2 linked regions of the Oryctolagus cuniculus genome follow. The protein of the gene in region 2 interacts with the protein of the main gene of each other region in a biochemical or structural test. Links are inferred from orthologs where the notes say so. Each region holds a gene or a part of one and is shown on either strand. Other genes may lie near its edges.

The links.
Region 1: the proteins of USP21 (region 2) and ISG15 form a complex in vitro, tested with the Homo sapiens proteins (2 studies listed by BioGRID, with this or other methods). The link is inferred for Oryctolagus cuniculus from reciprocal best matches to the Homo sapiens genes USP21 and ISG15.

What each region holds. Positions count from the first base shown.
Region 1 is NC_091438.1:164,356,612-164,359,738, reverse strand, and holds ISG15 (ubiquitin-like protein ISG15), read left to right. Parts: upstream 1-1,223; 5' UTR 1,224-1,875; coding exon 1,876-1,878; intron 1,879-2,071; coding exon 2,072-2,563; 3' UTR 2,564-2,581; downstream 2,582-3,127.
Region 2 is NC_091438.1:37,627,579-37,631,228, forward strand, and holds the end of USP21 (ubiquitin carboxyl-terminal hydrolase 21), read right to left. Parts: coding exon 3,550-3,650; intron 3,386-3,549; coding exon 3,230-3,385; intron 2,753-3,229; coding exon 2,688-2,752; intron 2,434-2,687; coding exon 2,330-2,433; intron 2,139-2,329; coding exon 2,052-2,138; intron 1,782-2,051; coding exon 1,703-1,781; intron 1,483-1,702; coding exon 1,375-1,482; intron 1,296-1,374; coding exon 1,181-1,295; intron 979-1,180; coding exon 888-978; 3' UTR 606-887; downstream 1-605. UniProt on the Homo sapiens protein: Deubiquitinates histone H2A, a specific tag for epigenetic transcriptional repression, thereby acting as a coactivator.

The DNA.
Region 1 (3,127 bases), about 130 Mb from region 2:
AGACTGTGGACATGGCAGTGAGACAGTGGATATGGGCAGTGAGACTGTGGACGTGGGCAGTGAGACGGTGGACATGGGCAGTGAGACAGTGGATGTAGGCAGTGAGACGGTGGATGTGGGCGGTGAGACGGTGGACGTGGGCAGTGAGACTGTGGACGTGGGCAGTGAGACGGTGGACGTGGGCAGTGAGACAGTGGACGTGGGCAGTGAGACGGTGGATGTGGGCGGTGAGACGGTGGACGTGGGCAGTGAGACGGTGGATGTGGGCAGTGAGACGGTGGATGTGGGCGGTGAGACGGTGGACGTGGGCAGTGAGACAATGGACATGGGCAGTGAGACTGTGGACGTGGCAGTGAGACAGTGGATATGGGCAGTGAGACTGTGGACGTGGGCAGTGAGAGTGCACGTGGGCAGTGAGACAGTGGATGTGGGCAGTGAGACTGTGCACGTGGGCAGTGAGACCGTGGACATGGAAGTGAGACAGTGGACGTGGGCAGTGAGACGGTGGACGTGGAAGTGAGACGGTGGACGCCTGCTCCCTTCACTAAGTGTCTGTGCTTTTTCTCTGACAGCTCAGCGGAGATGGTGCCCCAGGGAGTTCTGGGCCGGGGAGGCAGGGTCAGGGTTGATACTCAGAATCATGGCGGGCACACTTTGCTTTTCCATTCTTAAAAATTTCATTCACTTATTTATTTATTTAAATACCTCATTTTTATTTAGTCTCAGCCAACTTTGGTGTGTGCTGTTTGTGACAGCAGAAACTTGGGAACAACCTCGACTGGCCGTCCGGGGCTGGTGGGGCTGCACTCCTGGCCATCAGTCCCGTCCCGTCTCGGGAGCTCGGCCACGCGCTGGTGCCTGTCGGCAAAGGAGGCGGTTGATGACCTGCTGCTCCACAGGCGGTGAAAATGGCGAGAGCTCTTGTTTTGTTTTTTAGGTGAAATTCATGTAAAAGACATTAAAATGTTTGTTTATTTTATTTGAAGACAGGGAGAGAGCTGTTTCCCTCCACTGGTTCACACACCAAATGCCCACAAGAGCCAGGGCTGGGCTTGGCTGAAGCCGGGAGACAGGAGCTCTTCCTGGGTCTCCCTTGTGGGTGCAGGGGCCCAGGTACCTGAGCCGGGCACCAGCAGGGAGCTGGCACTGGAGGTGGCGTCAGGACTTGAAGCAGGCGTTCCTGTGTGGGCATCTCCACTGCTCCCTTTTAAATTGTGGTTTTTTTCATTGTTGAACTTGTAAGAATTCTCTACGCCCACAGAGACCCTTATCAGACACATGTGCAAACATTCTGAGTTCACTTCGAAAGGCAGCAAAATACACTTGGTCTTTCATTGAGAAACAACCTGACCAGAGGCCACGTCCTGAGCCCACGGAGGTCTCCGTGGGGGGGGGGGGGCTGGGACTGTTGGCGTCCTATGTAGTTCTGGAAGTGACCGCCGTGACGTTTCCTGGCCTCATCAATTTTGCAATCTGGCAAATGGAAACCGAAAGTCTCCAGTCCCCAGCCCACGTCCCTGTGAGCGCTGAGTGTCCTGCTGAGGACTCCGGGTGCTGGTGCTGGGCATTGCTGGGCACGGCTAGGCAGGCTGCCGGGGCACTGTGGGGGCCCCTTGCCGTGCCCCCACCCCTGGAGCTGTGCCAGCTCACATCGTCTTTCTGTTTTGTTTCTCCTACTCCCTCTGGGGCTCGCCCTGGGAAAAGGAAACCAAAACCAAAGCCTGCTTGGCCCCGGCACCAGCTGGGCGGCAGCACCGCCCCCTGACGTCCGCAGCCGAGGCCCATAAATGGGCTGAGGCTGGCCGGGAACGCGCTAGAGGCTGAGGGGCAGCGGCATTGCCAGGGACTGAGCAGCACCCAGAAGCAGCCACGGCCATGGTAAGCCGGGACGCGCGGTGTCGGGGGGCGCGTGGTCCGGCCGGTTTTCCTCCCCCTCGTCTGTCTGGTGGGGTTTCCCAGGGTGGGGACAGGAGGGGCGCATCGGCGGACGCAGGGGGCTGCACCTGCGGCTGGCGCCTGGTGTGCGGACCCAGGCCTGGCGCCGGTCTCTGAGCCCTGGTGATGCCCACAGGGGAAGGACCTGAAGGTGAAGATGCTGGGCAGCAAAGAGATCTCAGTGCCCCTGAGCGAGTCCCTGACGGCGTCGGAGCTGAAGCGGCGGATCGCCCAGGAGACTGGCGTGCCGGCCTTCCAGCAGCTCCTGGCTGTGCACCCCGGGGGGGCGGCGCTGCTGGAGGAGGTCCCCCTGGTCGCCCAGGGCCTGGGGCCGGGAAGCACGGTGCTGCTGCTGGTGCAGAAGTGTGACAACCCGCTGAGCATCCTGGTGCGCAATGACAGGGGCCGCAGCAGCGCCTACGAGGTGCTGCTCACCCAGACGGTGGCCCAGCTCAAGCTGCAGGTGGCCCAGCGGGAGGGCCTGCAGCCGGACCTGTTCTGGCTGAGCTTCGAGAACAGGCCCATGGAGGACCAGCACCTGCTGGGGGAGTACGGCCTCCAGCCGCAGTGCACCGTGTACCTGAACCTCCGCCTGCGGGGCGGATCTGCCGGGACCCGGCCCTGCTAATAAACAGAAGTAGCTGCCTCCCGGGTCCCCTCTCTGCCCATCACCCCTCCTGTGTCCCCAATTCTGCAGCCCTGTGGGGGCGGTCTGGTTGCCAAGTTATGGGACAAGGGCTTCATGGTAGGGTCATGACAGGGACAGCCTCACATAGGAAAGTCACGTGTGCCAGAGCTGACCTGGCCAGGCTGAGCCAGGCAGCCCCTCACTGCTCACCCCACAAGCTCCGGGGGTGGGGGGGCGGGAGCAGGGCGGCAGCTCTGCTCAGGGCCCATTGGCCACAGGGCAGGCCCCACCCCCAGAGTCCCTGGAACCAGTGAGGTGGGGAGAGGTCCACACCCCATGGGGCAGGGGGCCAGGAACCTTCTGGACTGCCCAGTCCTGCCTGCCTTGGTCCTGGGAGGTGTAGGGCGGGGCCTGAGCACTCACCATCAGGGTTCACATCACCCCCTCAGGAGAGTGTGGACAGTGCATGAGGGCACCTGGATCTGGGACTCACCTGCCCTGATGGGGCTTGGGGGTGGGCGGCAGCTAATTAGGCAGAAGCCACAGGGGACGCTCCCGGCGCCC
Region 2 (3,650 bases):
AGTGGAACTGGAGGTTAACTGCTTCAGTGCCAAATGGGAGCGAGCAGTCGTGACCGGCCCTGCCCGTCCCAGGGCCCGCGCAGAATCCTGCAGCTCGCATTCTCCAGTTCAGGCGTCCCAGGCCCAGATAAGGGCGAGAGCCCTGGAGGCAGGGCCTCGTGAGGTTTGGTTGTAGGGAAAATAGATGGAGACACTGGAGGCAGTCCGCGGGGAGGCGGCTCCACAAACAGCTTCTTGATGTTAGCAACAGATGGGGCCTACGGGAGCTAGGGCCGCCCGGCAACGTACTATGTTTGTCAACAGGGGTTCTTGGGTGTCTCGCCCTCCAGGGGCAGCCCCCATGGCCGGCGAAACCCGCGGCCCCAGTGCCTGCATTCCCTTTTCTGGCCTCCTCGGAGTTTTCCTTCTTCCAATACAAAACCTTCACTGCTCAGGCACACATGTCCGGGTCCACGCCCCCCGCCCCCACCCCGCGACCCTTCCCCTTGGACTTTGAGCACCCCCTCCCCCCATCTGTTCAGAGAGAGAACTGGGTCCCAACAAGATCCCCGGGCCCAATTCATTCACCTCCATCCACTAGGCACAAATGCAACTATGGACATCACTTTTTCTTAATAAATTTATTCACAAAAAAGTGAGTTTGCAGAGGGTCTGGGGGCTGTACATGGGCCGGGGCCTGGTGAGCTCTGTACAGGGGGCTGGGAGACAAGGGAGCCTCCAGGTTGGAAGGGTACTTTTTAATAAAAAAAATAACGGGAGCTACAGCCACCCCCTCCCCCCCTCCCTGATTAAAAAGACACAAAAATAGACGTCTCTGAGGTAAATGGGAAGCCTGGGGCTGAAGGGTGTTGAAAGGGTTTCACAGGTGCCAGGGCTTAAAGGGACCGTCACAGGCACCGGGGCGGCTCCTGCATCAGTTGGTAGAACAGCACGTAGCCCTCACTGGATGCCACCTGGTTTTCACTGACAGGGGAGACACTAGGAAGGGAGATGGGGAGAGAGGCTTGTCACCAGCCTTGTAGAGTCCCTCCTCCCCACTAGACAACCCCAGGGCATCCAGGGAGCGCTCAGGAGAGACCCCAGCTCGCCTGTCCCCAGGCACTCTGCTCCCGTGGGCCTCACGGCAGGGTGTCAGGGCTGCAGCAGGAACGGGCGGGAGTCAAGAGGAGGCTGTTCTCACCGAGAGTCATTGTAGACATGCCAACCAGTCTGGCACCGGCACAGGGCTGTGTAGTGGCCATAGTGGACGCTGCCCGAGTGGTTGCAAAGGGCATACAGCTGGTATACAGGGCTTCCTGAGGGGTTGGAGAACTCCTTAGAACAGTGCAGTGCCCCCTTCTCAGGGTTCCATGGGGCCTTCCCCACCAGACTCACCGGCTTTGTCACTGGCAAAGTCCCCTAGGCTCAGTCGCTGCAGCGGGAAGTCTACACCTACTGAACTTTTCTTGATGGAGCCTCGGGAGGTGGAAAATCGATTCAGATCTAAGCCCTGGTTAAGGAGCATTGGGAGGCGGGGGGATCTCTAGAGGGGACTGGGCCTGAATAGTGTCCTCTCCCCTCCCCCGACCCATACTGGGCGCCCTGGAAGGAAGGCTGGGGGTTAGGCTTTTCCTAAGGAGACCTCAGCTCCCCGTGGCCAGCCTCTGCAAGAGAACGCAGGGGAGATAGCCTAAGAGAAATAAGAAACTGAGGATTAGGATACGGAGCACGAGGATTCGGGGGAACCTCTGCACTGTCAGCTTTTTGGTACTCCGCGTTTTCTGCCGACACCGGTCACACACCTGAATAAACGCCAAATGGTGTTAGGTTGATGCGCTCCTCCCCCCAGGCGGCTCCAGCGCAGTCCACTCTCAAATGTGGTGTGCTCCCCGTTGCTGCCGTAACCCCGGCCGCACCCCCTTGCCCTAGGAGCACCAGGCCGTGTACCAGAGGCTCCAACACAAGCCCAGACATGTGAGTTCTTCCCACACTAAGGCATCTCGCGGTCCCTTTTCCCCAGGAGGCCCCCTCCTGTCCCACCCTTGTTACATCCCTTGTGAACCCCCACATACTGGGGCGTTCTCCAATTCTAGCTCTTCTTCCTTGGTGAAAAGGCTGAAACAATCCCGCAGAGACACCTTGCCCCCAGCAAATCCTTTCTGCAGAGCAGGGGGCAACAGGGAAGGGAGGGTCAGTGTGGTCTCCATTTCCTTTTCGGATTCTTCTCAATCAGTCCAGCGTCAGTTCCGCTCCAGAGACCCACAGGAGTCCCGCCCGCACTCTGGAGGTGGCTAGGGCCGGGTCACAGAACCCCCGTCCCATCCACCCCTGGCATCCTCTGGAATCCCACCTTGGGGATGGGCAGGGACAGGTCACAAAAAACCTCGAAGGTCGTGGAGCGATACCCACAGGCCTGGCACTTGAGACAACTTTTCAACTGGCCCACAAACAGGTCTGGACAGAAGCAAAGGGACAGAAGAACGAGTCACTGTTGGGGGCCTGACAAGCTTTCTCTGATACCCGCCTCTTCCCTGGCCGGGTCCGTTCCCACCACCAACACTCCAAACAAACTCCCCACGCTATTTCTGGTTTCCATCACCCGGTCCTGCTCTCACCCCCCTGACAATGCCAGCTTTTCTTTCCTCTGAAGCCTGTGTACCCCTCCCCCACCCCCACTCGTGTTCCCACATTTTCCCCCCATTCCATACCCACAATCTTGCTGTCCTCTCGCTCCAGGTAACGTTTCCACATTAGGTTGGCTCGGTCATCGTCACTACCACAGATCAGGGGAAGTGGGGAGCACCCGTGAGGCAGCAGGAGCACTGGGAACCCCCAACACCACAGAGCCCTGCACGCCACCCACAACCCAGCTCCTCCCCTGGACTTCCAGGAAAAGTCAAAGGAGTCATGCTTCAAGGGACTTCTGGGGGAAATCCAAGGTGAAAGGAAAATGTACACAAGGGAACAGGCTGTCTCCCTCCACCTAGCTTCAAACCCTTCTAAGGAGCTCTGTTATAAACTGTCCCCTCCCTCCTGAGTGACGTCCCCAGCATATCTTCTGCCTCCATCTGCACCCCTCAGTCTTCCTCCCCCACGTCCTTCCTTTCACTTCTGCACTGCTTCTTAAACCATTTTGTACACTAAAGGGTTTCCCAGCCCCTGCCACTTCAGTCTGGACTAGCAGGGTTCTGTGAAGGCTGCATGTCGCTGCGGAACTCCCGGGGGTACGAGGGCAGGGACGGGCCCTTACCTTAACTCAGGCTCCTCTAGCAGCGCCCCTCCTCGGCAGGGTGGAGAGGGAGCTGGACCGTTGGCCAGGATCGGGGGAGCCCGGCGGCCTCGTCGGTTGATTTCAAGGTGTAGTCGCTCCATGAGGAGCTTCAGGAACTCTTGGGCATCCTGCTGGCTACAGCCAGACGAGAGAGTGTGGGCCACGATCCGTCCTCATCCAGACACTAGCCCTGCCCAGATGGGGTCCCCACTTGCAGGATAAAAACACCTCCAGGCCCAGAACAATACTGCCCAGGCCCCCACCTGGCCTCACCCTCAGACATGGCCAGACTCTCCCACCTGTATCCAGAGAAGGAGGGAACGTATTTCTGGAAGACGGCTCGGAATCGAGTAGGGTTCACAGCTTCGCAGGAGTCAGGGTGCCAGAGGGCTCCGATCAC